Linked DNA regions of Macaca mulatta. The protein of the gene in region 1 purifies or fractionates together with the protein of each later gene. This does not show direct contact. Links are inferred from orthologs where the notes say so. Each region holds a gene or a part of one and is shown in the gene's direction. Other genes may lie near its edges.

What was found. The genes of interacting proteins can lie anywhere in the genome.
Region 2: the proteins of FOXO1 (region 1) and SIRT2 purify together in Homo sapiens (affinity purification with western blotting; 3 studies listed by BioGRID). This does not show direct contact. The link is inferred for Macaca mulatta from reciprocal best matches to the Homo sapiens genes FOXO1 and SIRT2.
Region 3: the proteins of FOXO1 (region 1) and SIRT1 purify together in Homo sapiens (affinity purification with western blotting; 5 studies listed by BioGRID and IntAct, with this or other methods). This does not show direct contact. The link is inferred for Macaca mulatta from reciprocal best matches to the Homo sapiens genes FOXO1 and SIRT1.
Region 4: the proteins of FOXO1 (region 1) and ATG7 purify together in Homo sapiens (affinity purification with western blotting; 4 studies listed by BioGRID). This does not show direct contact. The link is inferred for Macaca mulatta from reciprocal best matches to the Homo sapiens genes FOXO1 and ATG7.
Region 5: the proteins of FOXO1 (region 1) and SKP2 purify together in Homo sapiens (affinity purification with western blotting; 4 studies listed by BioGRID). This does not show direct contact. The link is inferred for Macaca mulatta from reciprocal best matches to the Homo sapiens genes FOXO1 and SKP2.

The regions. Positions count from the first base shown.
Region 1 is NC_133422.1:20,126,810-20,130,830, reverse strand, and holds the start of FOXO1 (forkhead box protein O1), read left to right. Parts: upstream 1-1,221; 5' UTR 1,222-1,654; coding exon 1,655-2,284; intron 2,285-4,021. UniProt on the Homo sapiens protein: Transcription factor that is the main target of insulin signaling and regulates metabolic homeostasis in response to oxidative stress.
Region 2 is NC_133424.1:49,992,568-49,996,716, reverse strand, and holds the start of SIRT2 (NAD-dependent protein deacetylase sirtuin-2), read left to right. Parts: upstream 1-1,349; 5' UTR 1,350-1,488; coding exon 1,489-1,504; intron 1,505-2,091; exon of another isoform or gene 2,092-2,216; intron 2,217-2,583; coding exon 2,584-2,630; intron 2,631-4,149. Other genes in the region: NFKBIB (NF-kappa-B inhibitor beta), read right to left, coding at 799-977. UniProt on the Homo sapiens protein: NAD-dependent protein deacetylase, which deacetylates internal lysines on histone and alpha-tubulin as well as many other proteins such as key transcription factors.
Region 3 is NC_133414.1:81,881,658-81,885,945, reverse strand, and holds the start of SIRT1 (NAD-dependent protein deacetylase sirtuin-1), read left to right. Parts: upstream 1-1,488; 5' UTR 1,489-1,554; coding exon 1,555-1,972; intron 1,973-4,288. UniProt on the Homo sapiens protein: NAD-dependent protein deacetylase that links transcriptional regulation directly to intracellular energetics and participates in the coordination of several separated cellular functions such as cell cycle, response to DNA damage, metabolism, apoptosis and autophagy.
Region 4 is NC_133407.1:150,124,902-150,129,169, forward strand, and holds the start of ATG7 (ubiquitin-like modifier-activating enzyme ATG7), read left to right. Parts: upstream 1-1,468; 5' UTR 1,469-1,543; exon of another isoform or gene 1,544-4,268. UniProt on the Homo sapiens protein: E1-like activating enzyme involved in the 2 ubiquitin-like systems required for cytoplasm to vacuole transport (Cvt) and autophagy.
Region 5 is NC_133411.1:37,226,499-37,230,523, forward strand, and holds the start of SKP2 (S-phase kinase-associated protein 2), read left to right. Parts: upstream 1-1,225; 5' UTR 1,226-1,423; coding exon 1,424-1,431; intron 1,432-1,932; coding exon 1,933-2,204; intron 2,205-4,025. UniProt on the Homo sapiens protein: Substrate recognition component of a SCF (SKP1-CUL1-F-box protein) E3 ubiquitin-protein ligase complex which mediates the ubiquitination and subsequent proteasomal degradation of target proteins involved in cell cycle progression, signal transduction and transcription.

The DNA.
Region 1 (4,021 bases):
GACCTGCAGCTCAGACGAGGAAAGGTGGGGTGTGGGTGGGGGGTTGGTTGACGCACACAGCAAGTAGCCTCAAGGAACTTGGGGATGGGGCAGGCTGCGCCCCAAGGCTTTGGTCCTATCCCCCGCCCTTGCGTTTTAACTTAACACCCGATCACTTCCGTTGTAAATAAAAAAGAAATAACAAACAGTTAAATTTAATTAGGGGTAAGTAATAAAGTGACCTGGTTCTCGCTAACTGCGCTCCTGAGCCCTTCGCTGCCGGCCCTGGACTCAGTGGACGAAGCGGGAGATTCCCGCCCAGGGGAAGAGGTTCCCACGGAGGGCATGCGGTCGCGGGTGCCTTTGGATCCGTGTGTGCGGGGAGGCGGGAGAATCTCCTCCTCGCGCCGGGGCCCCTGTTCCTCATTTCTAGCCTTTTAAAAAAGATCAAGAATACAGTGAATCCGGTTGGGGGCTGCCCGGCTGGGTGACGCGCCTCTGGCTAGACCGAATGGCACAGGTTGAGCCTGGGGGTGCGGACAGGTGGGCACCGGGCGCGGAGAAGGGTCTCTCAGCGCGGACTCGACTGCAGGACCCGCGGCGCCAGGGGCGGTGGTCGTGTGCAGCCCGTGAGCGGGCCGGAGGACTTGACAGATCGCAGCGAAAGAAAACACTAAACCAAAACAAAATCCACCGATTCCCCACGTCGTTTAGCAAAGACATCGTGGGTGGAGCCAGGAGGGAACGATTGAGTAGAATTCCGCGCGGCCGCCTCCACCCACCCACCCCGCGCCCCGGGTCCCCGGCCCCCTGCCCTGTCCGCCCGCCGGGCTGGGCCCGCAGCAGAGGTCAAGGCGCAGCGAGCGCCTCCTCCCACCCGGGCTTCCAGAGTACTCGGCTCTGCTCCTCCGTAGTAAACAAAGTGTCGCCGCCGCCTCCACGCTGCTTTGCTTCCTAGCAATCAAAACACTGAGAAGGCGAGAGAATCACAGAAACACTCGAGAATTACCAGAAAATAATAGAGATCCAAAAAAAAAAAAAAAAAAAAGGAGATGAGTGTGTGAAAGAGAAAAACACCCTACTACCCCCCACCAGCCCACCGCCGCCTCCCCGTGGAAAACCGGGCCCCGCCCAGCCCGGCGCCCACTGGCTGCCCAGGCGGCGGTGCCGCATGCCCATTGGCCGCGCGGGCTGTCGGTCAGGGGCGGGCCGGCGCGCGCGCCGGCGCGGGCGGGGAGCGGCGGCAGATCCCGTAAGTCGGGCGGCCTAGTAGTCGCAGCAGCCGCTGCTGCCGCCGCCACATTCAACAGGCAGCAGCGCAGCGGGCGCGCAGCCGGGGAGAGCGAGCGGCCCGCGGCATCCGTCTGTCCTTCCGTCCGCGGCCCTGTCAGCTGGAGCGCGGCGCAGGCTCTGCCCCGGCCCGGCGGCTCTGGCCAGCCGTCCAGTCCGTGCGGCGGACCCTGAGGAGCCTCGATGTGGATGGCCCGGCGAAGTTAAGTTCTGGGCTCGCGCTTGCACTCCGCCGCGCTTTCCTCCCAGTTTCCGTCCGCTCGCCGCACCGGCTTCGTTCCCCCAAATCTCGGACCGTCTCTTCGCGCCCCCTCCCCCTCCGGCCCCCGTGCTGCGTTCTCCCCTTCTTGGCTCTCCCGCGGCTGGGGGAGGGGCGGGGGTCACCATGGCCGAAGCGCCTCAGGTGGTGGAGATCGACCCGGACTTCGAGCCGCTGCCCCGGCCGCGCTCGTGCACCTGGCCGCTGCCCAGGCCGGAGTTTAGCCAGTCCAACTCGGCCACCTCCAGCCCGGCGCCGTCGGGCGGCGCGGCTGCCAACCCCGACGCCGCGGCGGGCCTGCCCTCGGCCTCGGCTGCCGCTGTCAGCGCCGACTTCATGAGCAACCTGAGCTTGCTGGAGGAGAGCGAGGACTTTCCGCAAGCACCCGGCTCCGTGGCGGCGGCGGTGGCGGCGGCGGCCGCCGCGGCCGCCACCGGGGGACTGTGCGGGGACTTCCAAGGCCCGGAGGCGGGCTGCCTGCACCCAGCGCCGCCGCAGCCCCCGCCGCCCGGGCCGCTGTCGCAGCACCCGCCAGTGCCCCCCGCTGCCGCTGGGCCTCTCGCGGGGCAGCCGCGCAAGAGCAGCTCGTCCCGCCGCAACGCGTGGGGCAACCTGTCCTACGCTGACCTCATCACCAAGGCCATCGAGAGCTCGGCGGAGAAGCGGCTGACGCTGTCGCAGATCTACGAGTGGATGGTCAAGAGCGTGCCCTACTTCAAGGATAAGGGTGACAGCAACAGCTCGGCGGGCTGGAAGGTGAGCGGTCTCGGCGCGCGGCCGGACCTTGGGGGCGCGGTGGGTCAGGCGAGGGCGCAGCTGTGCAGGTTTGCTCGGCCTGAAGGTGCGGGCCAGGAGGGCAGCGCGTTCCCAGGAGGGCGGGCGAGAAGCGGTGGTCGCGGTGACCTCGCCCAGGTCCGGTCGGGGACGGCAGTAGGTGTGCGCGCGCGCCAGTCAAGAGTTCGCGTGGGACGCGAAAAGGGGCTCGTCGAGGAACTAAGTAAAGAAAGTGCGCCAAGAAGTGGATATCAGCGGCCGAAAAGTTTGCCAGTGAAAGGAGAAACGGGTTCGCTGGGAGGGGCACTCCCCCGGCCCGCGCTGACTGCTTCGACTGCCCCTTCCCTCCCGGACCTCCGCGGGGGGAGGGCAGGTCCTCTCCGGCCGCGCTGCGGAGCTGTTTCCGCCGGGCGCGGCGGGGGAGGGCGCGGCGAGGGGCCCCGGACTCTCCCTGTCCCGGGACCGGGCTGCAGGTGGAGGGGACAGGCAGGGCGCGACCGGCCGTGGACGGTGCAGGGCCAGCCGGGCAGTTTCTGGAGGCGGTGCGCATTTTGCTTTGTTTGGTTTTCTCTGGAGTGGCCTCGAGTGCCGGGGGCCGGGCGTCCCGAGCCCGAGGTGGTGCCTCCGACACGTGCGAAGGGGCGGCCACCGCCTGCGGAGCGCCGGCGCCTGGCTGCGCTGGGCGAGCTAAAGTTCAAGTGTGACCCTCGGCGGGGGCGGGCGCGGGCGGTGGCGATGGCGTGGGAGGGGCCCCGGGCGCAGGAAGCCCGCGCCTTTAAAGGGCCAGCGCGTCCGGGCCGGGAGCCGTGGGGCCAGCGTTTCTCCACGAGGGGAAGCGCCCGAACTTGGTCTTGCCCCTGGTAGGAGGCTTTATTGAGAAACACAGAGGCTGCCCTCGGGGGCCGGGGGCTGGGAAGTGTGCGTCTTTTCCTGCCTTGCCACCCTGTTCTTGAGAATGGAGGTCCAGATGAGGGACCAGGCGGGGGGCTTTGCGACCAATTTTTTGAGGGAGTCGGAGTGGCGATGGGCGTCGAGGGAGCGATGCCTCAAATGAGGATTTTTGCCATTTTTGCCTTATAGAGAGTGGCCAGTAGAGACTTAGCGTGGGGGCAGGCATTTCCCGACTCCGAGGAGAAGGCCCGGGGCGGGGGGGTGGCCTCGGCCCCGGGGAGGCTTCCCGGGGGCGGGGTCCAGTCGCCGCGCGGCCTCCCCAAGCTGACAGTTTCTCACTGTCACCGGTGGCGGAATTGCTGTAAAGGCTGTCTAGTTGAGCTAAACACCTTTTTTTTTTTTTTTTTTTTTTTCATCCCCGCTCTGAGACGGAGTCTCGTTCTGTCGCCAGGCTGGAGTACCGTGGCGCGATCTCGGCTCATTGCAACTTCCGACTCTCTGGTTGAAGCGATTCTCCTGCCTCAGCCTCCCGACTAGCTGGGATTACAGGCAAGAGCCACCACGCCCAGCTAATTTTGGTGTTTTTAGTAGAGACGGAGTTTCACCGTGTTGGCCAGGATGTTCTGGATCTCCTGACCTCGTGATCCGCCCGCCTCGGCCTCCCAAAGTGCTGGGATTACAGGCGTGAGCCCCTGCGCCCGGCCGAGCGAAACATCTTTTTAAACAAACCTTTCCTTGCCTCTCATATTGACTCCACAGCATAATAAAAGATTGGTCTTAGCTGCGCAGTTGTTAACACCAAGGTTATTTTACATACAGTATCATCCC
Region 2 (4,149 bases), on another chromosome or scaffold:
TACTACCTCTGACTTTATTTCCTTCTCTTACTTTCTATGTTTCTTTCTTTCTGCGTGTCTTTCTTTGTTTCTTCCTGTCTTTCTGTTTCTTTCCTTCCTTGCGGTCTTATCTGTTTATTTAGTTCCACTAAAATGTATGCTCCACAAGCGCTTAAGTTTTTGTCTGTTTTCTCCACTGCCTTTATCACTAGCACCTAAAACGGAGCCTGGAATGTTGTACTGTGTAAAGAATATTTGTTTAACAGATGGATCCTTGGTCTCGTGGAGCTTACATTCTTTTTTTCTATTTTCCTTTTTTTTTTTTTTTTACTTTAATTAGGAATTCAACATAGAAGAGCTTACATTCTCTCTCTTTGAATTTAAGATTTGAAGAACACTGCTCAGATGACAGGATCTTAGAGTAAGGGACCAAGCATTAATTTTGGAAATCAAACTTTAAGGCTCAAATCAGGAACTAAGAATCAAAGATCATATTTGGAGGTTAGAAGTCAGGAGAAGCCACAGTTCTAACAAAAGTCTCAGGACTGGAGTCAGGTTTGGGTATCAGTGGATACAACGTGGATTCCAGGAGCTGAGAATCATAGTTCAGGAAAAGGTCAGAAATGATTGGGTGAGGATCATAGCTGGAAAGAAGATTGGTTTTGTTAAAAGTTAGGACTCGGGGGTTAGAGGTCAGGAAGTTCAGCATCGGAAGTCAGATTTAGGAGTGTGAGGTTAGGAAGCCTCAGGGATCAGACACTAATGGGGAATCAGATGCCGGGTCCTAAGGCTCCGTTTGGCAGCCTAAAGTTCACTCACGTGTCCCCATCCTCAGTGACGTAGCCGAAGACGAGGGGAGCCCACGACAGCCCCGGGCCCAGCTCCGCGCCCAATCCCGGTCCTCCGGGGGCCGCTGCGTCCGGACCCAGGGAGCCGAGGCCGCTGTCGCACCATTCATCTGCGTCGGCAGCTTTTCCCAAGCACGCGACCCCAGCCATGGCCCCCGCCACCTCAGGGGCCCCTCGCAGTGGCCCGCCTGTAGCTGGGCTTTGCCGGGAGTTCTGGCGCTTCCGCCCTGCGGGAAATTCCCCACCACGCCCCCTGATTCATCCAATGATAATATGCTGAATCGCTCACACCCCGCCCCCGTGCCGCATGCTGACCAATCAGAGTATTCGAGAGGACTACGACTCTCTAGCCGTTCCCACATTTTCCGGGCGCCCTTTACCAACATGGCTGCTGACGCCATGACTTCTGGGACTCGTAGTCCGGTCCTCGCGCGCTTTCTTACCTAACTGGGGCGCTCCGGGTGTCGTAGGAAAGCGCGTCTGCGGCCGCAATGTCTGCTGGGAGTTGTAGTTCAGTGCCCTATCCCGGCCACTCCCATTTCTGGTGCCGTCACGGGACAGAGCAGTCGGTGACAGGACAGAGCCGTCGGTGACGGGACACAGTGGTCGGTGACGGGACAGAGCGGTCGGTGACAGCCTCGAGGGCTTCAGCACCGCGCCCATGGCAGAGCCGGACCGTGAGTCGGGAATCCGGGTGGGAGGGTCGGGCCGCGCCGGGGCCTGATTGAAGGCTGCAGGCCCCGGGGCCCAAGGGCGGCCGCAGTGGGGCGGGAAGTAGGGAGCGCCTCGGGGAGTGGGGTTCTGAGGGTTGTTGCTAAGCGATCTATATCGCCAGGCTGGTGGGTTTCTGGGTCGCAGGGTGTTCAGGGTTCGTTTACCACATCCACTTGCCAAGTTGCCAATGATCGCGTGTTTCTCACACCTTGGTTGCTAAGGACCCTCGCTGCAAAGAACATAAGTTGCCCCGGTCCCGGCTGCTAAGGGTACCTGATTGTTAGAGGCAACCAGAGGATGCTGAGGGACCCCTGCTGTCCCCTTCTATGGCTTCCCCTTGTTCCGCGCCTCTCCTAAACCTACCGCCTCCACTGCACCACTGCACCTCCCTCCTAAACCTGCCTCCCAGCCAAAGCGTCCCTTCCCTTCTCTCTTCCTTTCTAAACTTCCCTCTGCCTTGTAAATCTAACCCTTCCCGCACACACACTGACACACTGTCGTGTCCTTCCTAACTCCTCCTGAGTGTTCCTTCATGCCCTGAATCCCTTAGGTAGGAGGAGGAGGATCGCTTGAGCCCAGGAGTTTGAGGCTGCAGTGAGCTATGATCGCACCATTGCACTCCAGCCTGGGTGACATGAGCGAGACCCTTTCTCTAAAAAGTAAAAAAGAAAGAAAGTAAGTCAGGGCCAGACACAATGGCTCATGCTTGTAACCCCAGTACTTTGAGAGGCCAAGGTGGTTGGATCGCTTGAGCCCAGGAGTTCAAGATCAGCCTGGGCAAAAGCCCCTACTTTCTCCCTCTCCTTCTAAATCTTCCTCTCCAGCCTCTCTGCCCCTCACTAATCACCTCTCCTGGCATCACTTTGCATGCTGATAAGATTTTTTCTCCGCCCCCTCCCTCCCCGTGCTCCATTTTTACCACCATCCCATCCCAGTGTAACTCGGTTGGTGGGTGTTCTGGCCCCTCACTGACCATTTGAATCCCTTTATTCCCCACTTAATCATTCTCCCCACTGTAACCACCTCTGCTCCCCTCCCTCAGCCTCTCACCCTCTGGAGACCCAGGCAGGGAAGGTGCAGGAGGCTCAGGTGAGATGGGCGAAAGGGTGGAGGGGAGGAGAGAGATGGACTTGTTCCACAGCCCGCAGGGGGGGAGGTGGCAAAGGGGAGACAGTCACCCCACGGCCCTCGGCTCATTGCCCCAATCCCTCACACCACCCAGTGCAGCTTTCTGGGGAAAGGCGGATTCTGGGGATTGTCAGAGAAGCGTTTCCAGCCTCAAGTCCAGGCCTGCCCTCCCAAACTTTCCTCCTTCCTCGCCACTGCCTGCCATCCCTTCTGAACCAAATTTGTCCTGGGCCTGGAAGAGACAGGTATCCCATTTGGTCTTGGAACGCACAGATCTCGTGGACAAGTGATGGGAAAAAATTATCTCACAGTGTGATGATAAAAGTAACTCAGGGGGCCAGGTGCAGTGGCTTATGCCCGTAATTCCAATAACTCAGGAGGCTGAGGCGTGAGGATCGCTTGAGCCCAGGAGTTTGAGGCTGCAGTGAGCTATGATTGCATCGTTGCACTCCAGGGTAAAACAGCAAGACCCTTTCTCTAAAAAGTAAAAAAGAAAGAAAGTAACTCAGGCCAGACACAGTGGCTCATGCTTGTAATACCAGTACTTTGGGAGGCTGAGGTAGGAGGATCGCTTGAGCCTAGAAGTTCCAGACCAGTCTGGGCAACGTAGGGAGGCCCCAAAAAATCTAAAAGTTAGCCATGTGCAGTGGTACATGCCTGTAGTGCCAGCTACTCATGAGGCTGAGTTGGGGAAGGATTGCTTAAGCCCAGGAGTTTAAGGCCGTAGCATGCCATGATTGTGCCACTGCTCTCCAGCCTGGGCGACAGAGCAAGACACGGTCTCAAAAAAAAAAAAAAAAAAAAAAAAAGGAAGAAAAGTAAAGAAACTCAGGGCACTGTGGGAGCACAGAGAAAAACTTTCTGGGTCAAAGAAGATTCCAGCCAGGCCATTCCCTGGAGGAATCCACAGGCTGGTCTAGCTGTCAGACCAAGATACAGACACAGTATAAGTGAAGAGTGACTTAGAATTTTCTTAGACAAGGTGAGAAAAGGTGATCCACACGACAGGTATCGCTTGTGCAAAGACCTGGGGGCATGAAGGAGTGTGATGTGTTCCGTAACTGGGTGGCTGGTAGGGGTCAGCTCGTTATAGTCACGGTTAACATTTACTGATGGCTTACTCCAGCTGTGCACACTGTTTAGTGCCAAACTTGCCTCATCTCACTTCATCTTCCTGGCATCCCTGTGAAGAGAAATGCCTATCATGGCCATTTTACAGAGGCAGAATTTGAAACAGAGGTGTTAAGTCACTTGTCCCCTGTCCCTCGGCTAGAGGAGCAGGGAAAGGTTTGAGTCCCCCAGCACTGGGCACACCGCCTGCCAGAGGCTGCCAGGAGAGGTGGACAGGCAGTCTCACAGGAGTTTGAAGGCCCCCCATCAGCACCTCCAGCTCTCCCTTAGGCCAAGCTGCCGATACATGCTGGGCACAGGCCTTCCACACAGCCTCACTCTGTACAGCCTGCAAGAGTGCCAGCCCACC
Region 3 (4,288 bases), on another chromosome or scaffold:
CAAAGTGCTGGGATTACAGGCGTGAGCCACCGCATCCAGCTAGGTTTTCAGTCCCGCATGCATTAGCTATTTGTCCTAATGCTCTCCCTCCCCTTGTCCCCCACGCTCCCAAAGATGGGTTTAAGGCTTCTAGGACTAGAGATGATCACTTTCAGAAATGAATAGTGGTGACCAGATGAAATAAGACTTTTGGATGCAGATGGGACCTTAGTGATATATTTCCAACATTCTATTTTTAATTTTTTTAATTTTAAGGATGAAGAAACAGCTTTAAGTTGATTGCCTAAAGTCACGCAAGTAATTGATGCAGTATGGCCAGAACCCACGCTCGGCTTAAGGGACAGTGTACCATAAACTCATAGAGGTCCTTTAAACAGATAGAAAGGCTGTGCTCCAGGGAGATGCCATAACAAACACCGGCTCTAGATCTACCATGGGTTATATGGGTCCTCAGTTAAGGTTAGATATGGAGTCACAGTGTCCCAGAATTTCAGGGAGAGAGGAAAGTGGAAGGGCTTTCCACTAAGCCTTTTAAACTACTAGGTACCCCTGATTTTACATCTGGTTATCTCATTTAAATCTATGACCTTTTAAAGTACTTCATTATTACAATTTAAGACATGAGAAAAATTAACTTTAGAAAAGGTTAGATAGCTCATGCTAGAAAGGAAGGACTCCAAATTTTAACCAAGAGCAGATGTCCATGGAGGCCAAGCCATTTTCTTCCCGAGCTCTCCTCATACCGACCCAACAAACCCATTCTGCACGTGAGAAAACTGAGGCCCAGAGGAGGGAATTCACACACGTTTGAAGCCAATCTGGGGCCAGAAAGTAGATCGGCTGAACTCCAAACCTCCAAGTCAAAGGTCTTCCCAGGATGTGACAATCTATACCACCCTACAAGTGATGGAGAGAGGAGAAAAAGCAACTAAGGAGAGAAGCTAGGAGCAGAAAAAGGAGCTAAAGAGGAGCTGTCAGAACGGTGTGAGGAGGGTGGGAAGGGAGCCTTCTCCTTTTGCCTCTATTCCTACCCATTAACAAAACAGAACGACTATCCAGCGTATTTCAGGGAGCTAAGTCCTTAGCCAGCTTCAGCTGTGTTTCAACCCTTAGCTAAAGCTAGACAACGCTAAGGCAGGCCAGGTGTACACTTCAGGTAGAAGTGGAAATTCCCAGGGCGGACCAAAACTTGAGCTGTTCAGGCGGTAGTGATTTGAGGTCGGTTTCAAAGAGAAGTTCAAAAAGCGGCCGAGGGGCGAATTTGGTTGCACTACACGCCCGCCACAAAGGCGCAGGGCCGCGGCCGCCGGGGCCGAGCGTGCTTCCAGCCCAGGCGGAGGGGTAGATGCAACAGCCTCCGCCCGTCACGTGACCCGTAGTGTTGTGGTCTGGCCCGCGTGGGTGGCGGGAGCGCCGAGGGGGCGGGGGCGGCGATGGGGCGGGTCACGTGACGGGGTTTAAATCTCCCGCAGCCGGAGCCGCGGGGGCGCCAGTGCCGCGCGTCGAGCGGGAGCAGAGGAGGCGAGGGAGGAGGGCCAGAGAGGCAGTTGGAAGATGGCGGACGAGGCGGCCCTCGCCCTTCAGCCCGGCGGCTCCCCCTCGGCGGCGGGGGCCGAGAGGGAGGCCGGGTCGCCCCCCGCCGGGGAGCCGCTCCGCAAGAGGCCGCGGAGAGATGGTCCTGGCCTCGAGCGGAGCCCGGGCGAGCCCGGTGGGGCAGCCCCAGAGCGTGAGGTGCCGGCGGCCGGGGGCTGCCCGGTTGCGGCGGCGGCGCTGTGGCGGGAGGCAGAGGCGGCGGCGGCGGGCGGGGAGCAAGAGGCCCAGGCGACTGCGGCGGCTGGGGAAGGAGACAATGGGCCGGGCCTGCAGGGCCCATCTCGGGAGCCACCGCTGGCCGACAGCTTCTACGACGAAGACGACGACGACGAGGGCGAGGAGGAGGAAGAGGCGGCGGCGGCGGCGATTGGGTACCGAGGTGCGCAGGGTGCGGGCGGCCGGAACTGCGCATCTCCTCCTCCCTTTCCCCGGGCTCCTACTGGTGTGAGGTTGAGGGCGGCCGGCGACTCGGGGCAGGCTCTGCGGCGTTCCCCTCCCCACCACGGCCCTTCGCTCAGCTGCGCTCCTCCGGGGCTGCCGTTCCTGCTGCGCGAGCTGCTGGTGGATTTGCTCTTTTCCTCCGTCCGTGACCCGCCTGGGCGGCCTTGCGCTTTGCGCAGCAGCCAGGTCGGGAGACTCTCGCAGTCACTTTAAAATAAGTTTCTCTCACCCTCTTACTCTTTTAGCATATTGGTTTTGTTAGAGCTTTTTTTTTTTCCTTTCCTTTTTCTTCTTTATTTTTCATTTGCTTTTCTTCACCCACCAACACACTTAAGTCTGCAACTTTTTGGCTGTCCCGTTGGTCGGCGTTTTCAATTGCTTTTTGTAAGCTGACACCTGTGCAGTTTGCTGTTTTTTTTTTGAAGGTCTATATTTTTATGCCTGAAGTTACAATTTTTAAAAGAGGAAAGCTGTTTCTGTAGTCACAGCCTGCAAAATTTAAAGAACATGGCTGTTTCTGAAGATATTAAAATTCTGTAATGCAGTTAGAAGTAGGCATGGGAGAGTGATAGTACTTTTAGAGCAGTTCATATTTTATTCTAATTTTGCTCTTGTACGGTAACGGTGTTTGGGCCAAGCGTACCTTTTTGTACGTAGTAATGATACACACGTTTAACACTTCTAGCATAATGAAGCAGATATGTTGCAATTGTCATGTTCTTCAAGGTTTTTTGTTTTTTGTTTTGTTTTGAGACAGAGTCTCTCTCTGTCGCTAGGCTGAAGTGCAGTGGCGCGATCTCGGCTCACCGCAACCTCCGCCTGTCCCGTTCAAGCTATTCTCCTGCTTCAGCCTCCCGAGTAGCTGGGACTACAGGCACCCGCCACCACGCCCAGCTAATTTTTGTATTTTTAGCAGAGACAGGATTTCACCATGTTGGCCAGGATAGTCTCGATTTCTTGACTTCGTGATTCGCCCGCATCGGCCTCCCAAAGTGCTGGGATTACCGGCGTGAGCCACCGTGCCCCGTCAGGTTTCATATTTTTGTTTCTCTCAAGGAGGAGTTTCTCTCCTTGATATGTGTTCGTCTTTATCAATACTTGGGTCAGGCCGGGCGCGGTGGCTCTTTCGTGTAACCCCAGCACTTTGGGAGGCCAAAGCGGGAGGATTTCTTGAGCCTAGGAGTTTTAGACTAGCCTGGGCAACATAGCGAGACCTCCTCTCTACTAAAAATTGAAAAACCCGGACGTGGTGTCGCACAGCTGCTGTAGTCCCAGCTACTGAGGTGGGAGGATTGCCCCCGAGTTTGAGGTTGCAGTGAGCTGTGATCGCGCCACTGCACTCCAGGATGGGCGACAGAGTGAGACCTCGTCTCAAAAAAAAAGTAGTATATGCTTTTAGGGACTGGTTTAGTAAAGAGACCCTGATTTCAAGCAACACCGTTGAATATTAATTTATTATTTATCTAATAATAATAGTGTTATTGATACTGTTTAATAGAAGAAACAATGCAGAGATACCTGTTTAGTATTATGTGAGAGTTTAACGTGCGCATTGCCAAGGTTATATTTGAATGACATTTTTGTGTAAATGCCCATTTATTACACGTTTCACTAACGCTGTTGTTTGTGATTGATACATTCTAGCTAGATTATTTTCTTTCTTTTTTTTTTTTAAAGACGGGGTTTCGCTAAGCTGTAGTACAATGGCGCGATCTCAGCTCACCTCTCAGCCCACTGCAACCTCCGCCTCCCGGGTTCAAGCCATTCTAGTGCCGCAGCCTCCTCAGTAGTTGGAATTACAGGCATGAGCCACCATGCCTGGCTACTTTTTGTATTATTGGTAGAGATGGGGGTTTCTCCATATTGGTCAGGCTGGTCTTGAACTCCCGACCTCAGGTGATCCACCTGCCCTGGCCTCCCAGAGCTCTGCAATTACAGGCATGAGTCACCGCGCCCGGCTATCTTTTTCTGTTTTTTTTTTTTTTTTTTTTTTTTTTTTTGAGACGGAGTCTCACTCTGTCGCCCAGGCTGGAGTGCAGTGGCCGAATCTCAGCTCACTCCAAGCTCCGCCTCCCAGGTTTACGCCATTCTCCTGCCTCAGCCTCCCGAGTAGCTGGGACTACAGGCGCCCGCCACCTCGCCCGGCTAGTTTTTTGTAGTTTTTAGTAGAGACGGGGTTTCACCGTGTTAGCCAGGATGGTCTCGATCTCCTGACCTCGTGATCCGCCCGTCTCGGCCTCCCAAAGTGCTGGGA
Region 4 (4,268 bases), on another chromosome or scaffold:
AGCTCAGGAGGTTGAGTCTGCAGTGAGCTATGATCACTCCACTGTACTCCATCCTGGGTGACAGAGGGAGACCCTGTCACAAAAAAAAAAAAAAAAAAAGAGAAAAAAAGAAATCTTTCTTAACCTTTTTGTGCTTCAGAAAGTGTTCACTACAAAGAAATACCCATTCTCATGTCACTTAAATGACTCATGGTTGCCTCCCTTGTTTACTGTGGCAAGGTCAAACACAGTCCTTCTGAATTCCCATTCTTTGCCTCATAAATGATTACAGAGCTGCTTGTCTCCATTGACCAGATGGAAAAAATGCTTATGAACCAAACTTGGGTTAAGCTTCTTTCCTTTCCCCAGGCTGCTTACTTTAACCCACTCTCAGCTTGCGCTAGCATACAACCCCTCCTGAGAATAGGTTGGTCTCAAGATAAAACATTCTCTGATCTAATATCTGATCAAGCCACCTCTTCATCCCACTTTCCATATTCGGTTGTTTCTAGCGTTGTTTACCTGCCTTTGGGGAGTGTTGGGGGTGGGGGAACCCTCTTTTTTCCTAACTATTGAAACATCTGCGGATTTTTTGGTCAGAGTGATCTCTCTATTGCAATAGTCTCCCTCTGCTATTGCACAGTTCCTTCTCTCCTACCTCTCCCATTTCTTGCAGTAATCCTTTCTAATAAGTATCCTTATTAGTCTGGATTTGTTTTCTTATTTGCCAGAATCAAACAGACTTCAGATTATGTTCCTGGCCCAAAAGCCCTTTAACTTTCAGCAAGCCACCTAACTTTTCTTAGATTCTGTTCTTCATATGTAACTTGGCGATACCTTTCAGGACTCTTGTGAGGATTAGAGACGTAAAACCCTGAACATATGGTGGCTAGTAAATTAACAGCAGTCATCGTTCTTGATTATGAGTCTAGAGTGGTATATCAAAGTTAACTTGTGAAAGGCCTTACAGGCCAGATAGAGAAACTTGTCATAATCACTGCTGTATCTTCAACACCTGTCCAGTGCTTCGCACGCGCATAGTATGTAACCAACAAGTACTGAGAGGGAATAACTTCATCTCACTTACAGTGAGGAGCTATGAAAATGATGGCTGGTTTAGAAAAGGCAAGTTGGTCACTGTCGACGTTTACCGGCCTTTTCCTACTAAAATTCTCATCTCCTGGCTCTCCACACCTGCCACCCTCATGGTCCCTGTGTTGCGTTTGATGCCGCCTCTCCTGGAGAATGGCCATGGTGATCATTCCTGTTATCCTCTGAAATCAAAAGAGAGAACGTGGGGCACTTTCTTAAACGCCCGAAGGGAATGTAGACGATCCGACACCTGGTGAGGGAGACACTCTCCATCGCCTTCCCCTGATGCCCCGCCCTCCCCACGGCTCAAGTTCCTCCCACTTAGCCTGGTGCTAGGGGCGCATTTCTCCGGCTTGCCTCTGGTCCTCTGCGCACGCGCGCCGCTTCCTGGTGGCAGGCGCGGGCAGGGCCGCGTTGCGTCATCGGGGCGCGCGCCTCAGAGAAAGCTGTGGTTGCCGGAAGTTGAGCGGCGGTAAGTGAGCAGCGGCGAGCGAGGGTGTAGTGGGGTCTTGCTGGGCCGGTTTTGGAAGCCTGGAGTCAAGGGGCGAGCTCTCCAGGGAGGGCGAGGGTCACAGCAGGTCTCAGGGTCTTCCTCTGCCAGCTTCTGGGTGGTCCTTCCTCCTCCAGGGACTCACTGATTACGGCGGGCGCCCTTCGTCTGTAGCCGCGTCCCCTCAGACTGGTTCAGTCCGGGGTCTTCTGACTAGGAAGCTCGTGCTGATTTCCTAAGTTAGCCCCTCCTGTCTTCTTGGTAGGCAATGCTCAGAATCTTCAGTGTTGGACCACGGGAGATAGGACATTTGGATTCCTAGCCTGGCTGTGTCTGGCTTTGCTGTCTCTGGCACGTTCCTTCCTCTTTTAAGCTGCTTTTTCCTCATCTGTAAAATGGGAATGATACTCCGTCATTTGTTAAGTGAGGAGGTTAAATAAGTTTACTTTCTGAGAAAGAAGATTCTCGATTCCTTGGTTACGGGGTTAAAAAATAATGCACAATAAGAATCAATCCGGTAAGGTAAATGCAGGTGTTAGAACATTTGTCAGAAATAGAGTCAAACTTTTAATTTTACCGAAATGAATTTTATAAGTACAGTACTAACGTGCATGATGTTGGAGAAGTAAAAGCCAAACTGTGTGTGTGTGCACGTGCGTGCAATTTCCTGATTTTTAAACACTGGCGACTGATGCCATTTTTAAAAAATTGGCAAGTAATTCTGTTTTTTAAAAACATTGGCAACTCAATTTTTACAAAACGCTGTTCAGCTGTAACCAGTCATATCTGTGGCTGCCAGTTTGGGACCTGTGGATCCCAGGCTCCCTTTTTCATTGTCTACTTAGATTTTTTTCTCTGACACCTCTGCCCACTGGCCAGATATCTTCAGTGACAGAAAGCTTTCTACTTCTGGTTGCTCCTGTTTGGTCCTTCCCCAGTTCTGAGTCTTAGGTTGAGCTGAAAGCAGCTACTCAGTAGTCTTAGCTCACTGTTCCTTCTTTAGGCTCTTGGAATCATCCCTGCATTTAATTGCCCTATACATCATTGAAAGCTGCTAGTTTGTCGTCTTCCTCTCACTTTTTCTTCTCTAGGCTAAGCATATTTAACGTATTTGCTGATAGTAAACTTAACGACGACAGCAAATTTTGTCGTGTTTTGTTATATCCCCAGCATATAGAGCAATGCCTAGCATTTTATATATGCTCAATACATATTTGTTGGATGAATGAATGAAACACGTATTTGCCTGTTATTGCCTGGCATTATTGTGGGCACTGGTGATCTATCAGTAAAATAAGATGAAAAAGAACCCTGTTTCATGGCACCTTCTAATAATAGTGGTGGTGCCAGCGGTGGCGGCATTGTCAATGAGGGTTGGTAGGTGTTTCAGATTCTGAAACGTACTACAAAAAGAAACAGGGTCATGGGATGGAGAGTAATTGGGGGAAGCATAAAAGCTAGCTGGTCAGGGATAGCTTCCCTGAAGAAATGACCTAACACTTGAATAAAAAAAAGGCCAGTCTTGGAATGGCTCATGTTGCTGAACTGCTCTCCCATCCCCCAACGCTGCTCCAGTCTTGTTAAGCTGCTTGCAGGTGTGTCTCACCTATAGCCCTTTGCTTCTGCTGCTTAGAACATCTCCCCTTCCCCTTCCGTTTATCTTGGCCAGCTCCTTCCTGCCCTCATGTGACATGATTTTGAAATCCTTTAAGAGCTGAGTACTGGACTTTCCATTATTCAACCATAGGTTCCCTTTTCTGTTCCCAGCCAGCATCTCATTATAGAGAATAAACATTTATTGAGCTTCAGCTGTGTGTCTGGCACTGCACTGCAAGCTGGGAATACAAAAATGAGTAAGATACACATCCCTGTCCCCAAAGAGTTTACCTTTTTTTAAGTCAAGGAGATAGCAACGGTATGGTATGGAGCTATTACGGAGGTTTGGTAGAGGATAACTTAGGGTACTCATAAGTCAGGCTGACTCATCAAAAAAGGTTTCAGTGAGGAAGTGCTGCTTTAGCCAAGACCTAAAGGATGAATAAGATTTTACAGGTGAAGAGTGGTTCGAAGTGGTATGAGCAAAGGGCTAGAGGTGAGAATGCATGGCCTGCTTGTGGTTCACTGGAGTGGCAGTGTGGAGGTGTAGGATGAGAGGTGACTGGAAAGGTAAGCACTGGCCACATTGTGAAGGACGCTGTGGACAGTAGCATGTTAAGAGCACATAGACTTTGGGATCCAAGATAGCTGCCTGCCAGTATTCGCATTGCCACTGAACTAGTTTTGTGACCCTGGGCACAGAAAGTCACTTCCTTTCTAAGCTTCAGTTTCCTCATCTCTATGAAGGGGAAATAAAAACTGAATGAGGTGATATATTACTCACTTGGCACTGGTAGATGATAAATAATAAACAGTAGTCATTAATATTGCCAGGCCTAGAAGTTTGGACTCTAAAATGTGGGGGCGGGGGTGGAGAGCAGGACACTGAAGATTTTAAAACAGGTGGGACATCCTCTCATGTTTTAAATTACCCAGGCAGCAATGTGGTGGTTACACTGGACAGAAGAAGACAAGCAGGGGACCAGTTGGGTACAGTTGCAGTGATCCAGATATCAGGATGAAGATCTGGATGAAGGCAGTGACAGTGGAGATGGAGAGAGGTGGGAGGAGTTGAGAGATTAAGGAGGTGGTATTTGCTGGACTTTGGTAA
Region 5 (4,025 bases), on another chromosome or scaffold:
CATACCTGGGCAAGGGAAGTTTAATTTCACTATAGAGTAAATCATTTTTTCAAGGAAACCAGAGGGCGTGTCATACAGCATCACTGAATATTCTAATATGAGATGAAGCTGTTATGCTTCCTTATGAACTTTATAAATCTTCATTTTTATGAAGCTTAGAATTCATCCCCCTTCCCTCTTCCACTGTTTTCCCGGGGTCACAGTTGTAGTATAGTTTGTCCAATGGATTTCGCATGGTCATTGTACCTGGAATATGTCACGCTCTCTACTCCAACCGCCCCCAAACTCTTCTCAGCAGAGATAGGCTTAAAGCAGCTTGCTTTTAGGCGGCGACGCAAACACACGTAGCCAGTTGAGCGACAGCAAGCAACCAAATGGCTTTGCTGGAGGCCCCCTGCGTTGCACGGGTAAAGCCCGTTGCAAAATACAGTCCTTTCATTTATTCCTCTGTTACTATTTATGAGACTTGTCAAGGCTGCAAGGGCATGCGCAGCCTTCCCACCACACAGGACCCGCTGGGGTCTCCGGCTCCCCTAAAATTAAACCACTGTCTTTCGTTCCGACTCATGTTTAGCTGTTGTGCGTATTTTACAGATAAAGGAGGGATCCTGTCCACAGACCCAATTCTAAGGGCCGCCTTCTCCCCCACGGAGGAAGAAGCTTCCTGGCAAAAGGACGAACAGGTGCGACGCCCGCATTTCGCAGCCTCTCACCTGGCCAGCGGGCTGGGCTACTGTCCCCACTCAGCAGCTAGGGACGTGGGCCCCGCGGCGGCGGCCACTTGGGGTCTGCCGGGTCCCCTCTCTTTCCGCCTGCGCTCGGCCTCGGACCCCACACTCAAAAGCGCCTCACGCGTTCCGCCTTAGGCTCACTGTCCGATCTCGCCAGACAGCGTCTGGATGGGACCGGGAAGCGGCGGCCGTCACAGCTGTTCAGGTTCTGGGATCCACGCTCAGAGACGACAGCGCTGGTGATCACCAGAAGGCCTGCCGGCTCCCGGGAAAGAAAAATCCGTCCACAGTCCAGCGGCTGACATTTCCCAGTCAGCCGTAGCACCGCCCGCTTCCGCCTCCCCGCCTACCCCATGGGCCGACCAGTCCCGCTCCCGCGGGGGGTTGTGGGTATCTGGAAGGCGGGTAAAGCTGCAAGGGAAGGAAGTTAGGGCGAGCCCGTCGGACTACGAAACGGGACGGAAACTACAATTCCCAGCAGGCCGTGGGGCCTCAGAGTGCGGCCGCGAAGCAAAGCGGGCTGTAGAGTCTTGCGCGCGCGGTGGGGATGGAACGTTGCTAGACTTAGCGGGTCTGGCTCCTGGGGGTCCGAGCAGCACGCTCGGAGCCGCCGCGCGCCAAATCGGGAATCCGGGAGGCGAGCAGCTCTGCAATTAATGCACGTATTTTAAACTCCCGAGCCTGCGGACGCTATGCACAGGTAAACGGATTCAAAAAGGGAAGAGCATGAATGGACCCTCTTAATAATTCTTTTAGGCCGCGAATATCGCTACTGGCTAATATTGTTAGTAATGCTGTTAAGTGAATGGTTGCTTAGCCCCTTCTTGGGGAAAGTGTGAATGGATGAATGCCTTAGTGCGGGGATCAGCGTGCGGTTTTATCTGGCTTCCTTAATTGGGCTTTTTTGCCACCGTTTTCAATCACTGTATGATTGCCCTGTCTCTCTCCTTGTCTGTTCCCTCCGCTGGGAGAAATTCTTGAGGCCTTCTGCAGGATCGTAAGTCAAAGAGCCTTCTCGATTTGTTCTTTTCATTTCTTCATTTTCTTGGTAACTCTCCGCGGGCACGTAAAAAAATGCGATTGTGTTAGCTGCTGTGAAGGTTTTCCACAATACATAAACTGCAGCTTCTTTAATGCCTTCCTTGGAATTATTTATGGGTGTGTTTTCGAAAGGAACCGGGGGTATTGTGCACTTCTGCAGGAAGCACCTTCAGGAGATTCCAGACCTGAGTAGCAACGTTGCCACCAGCTTCACGTGGGGATGGGATTCCAGCAAGACTTCTGAACTGCTGTCAGGCATGGGGGTCTCCGCCCTGGAGAAAGAGGAGCCCGACAGTGAGAACATCCCCCAGGAACTATTCTCAAACCTGGGCCACCCGGAGAGCCCCCCACGGAAACGGCTGAAGAGCAAAGGGAGTGAAAAAGACTTTGTGATTGTCCGCAGGCCTAAGCTAAATCGAGAGAACTTTCCAGGTAAGGATATGAGGGTAAAAATGTAAGTTATGCAAAGGGTGGATTTAGCTATGTTGTTGGGAAACCTTTGTTCAGGGATCTTTACCATGGGTTCCTTTTAAGATTGCCTAATTCTGAAGCTGTTTTTTCAACACAATAGGGCAAGTCGTCAAGTATGCAGGAATCTTGGTAGGTATATATGTGTGTGTGTATGTGTGTATATATATGTGTGTGTGTGTGCGTTCTGGTGCATAATCACCCTGAAAATTTTAACCCATGAGAAGACATTCCTGCCTTTTTCCTTAGAAGGGAATCTGTCTTCCTAAAGGCCAGCTCGGTGCCACCAATTAATAGAAACAAAGCAGTGGTCTTCTTGTAGGATTCTTTTGCTTTGTACCCCTGAGTGAGCTTTTTGTCTTAATCACTTAAGTTATTTATCAGTGGACTGCTGAAGTGAACATTCACCTAAGTGGGGGAGAATTATCTCCCCAGGCCCACTCCCACTCCCATATTATCTTCTCTGGTGTGTTCTGTCTCCATTACTGCTGACACTATCTGTTTAATCACCCAACCCAAAAACCTGAGAGTCAGTCCGATTCCCACCGCCCCCAACATCCACTCATTCATTGCATCTTTCTTCTCTGGTAACTATTTCTCAAGTTCTTATCTTCTCTTGCCTCAACTATTGGAGCAGATTCATAATTCCAACCTTCTCCCCAGATCTATCCCCTAGAACTAGAATGGATTGACTGAAAAACTATTTCTTCCCTCCTTAATAGCTCCCCATCCCCTAGTTTCTCAAGCAGGTGAATGAGTGCCTCCCAGAGTGAACCAGAACCCTGGAGTATGCAAAAGCCATAGGGTAAATAGGGCAATGACCTGGGGTTATCAGTTTTTCTTACTAGTAAGCTATTTAAAACAGTAATGCAGCAAATATTTGCTGAGCACATACCATGTGCTAGGCAGTGTTCCAGGTGCTGGAGATACACCAGTGGGCACAACATAAACATTTCTGGTCTCAGGGAGCATCCATTCTAGTGAGAGAAAACAATAAACACAATAACTATTTTTATATAGTATGTTAGAAGGTGATAAGTGCTATGGCTAAAAACAAAAATGGAACAAGCCAAGAGGGAATGCAGGTCCTGGGGTGGGAAGATAGAGTGCACTTTTAAACCAGGTATTGAGGGAAAGCCTCAACTGGACAGTGACCTTTAAGCAAAGACATAAAGGAGGCAAGGGAGTGTGCCATGCAGATATCATGGAGAAAAGAGCTCCAGGCAGAAGGAATAGCCAATGCAAAGACCCTGGTGCATAAATGTGACACATTTGTTCCAGGAACAGGGAAGCCATATTCTAAGAGTAGAATGAGCAAAGGAGAGAGTTGGGAGAGATCAGGCTGGAGGTAATGTTGAGCACAGTTGTGATGGGACCTGATTTAACCTTCTAAAAAGGACACACTGATGTGTTGAGACTCAACCGCAGGGGTGTCAAGGGTAGAAACTTAGGGTCTTTTTTAAATTTCATATTTTCAAGACAGAGTCTTGCTCTGTCGCCCAGGCTAGAGTGCAGTGGCATTCTCTTGGCTCACTGTCTTCACCTGGATTTGAGAGATTCTCCTGCCTCAGCCTCCTAAGTAACTGAGACTACAGGCATGCACCACCACGCCCAGCAATTGTTTTGTTTTTTGTAGAGTTGGGCGGCGGCGGGGGTGGGGGTGGTGGTGGTGGGATCTTACCATCTTGTCCAGGCGGGTCTCAAACTCCTGGACTCAGGCGATCCTCCAGCCTTGGCCTCCCAAAGTGCTGGGATTACAGGAATGAACCACCACACCTGGCCAAA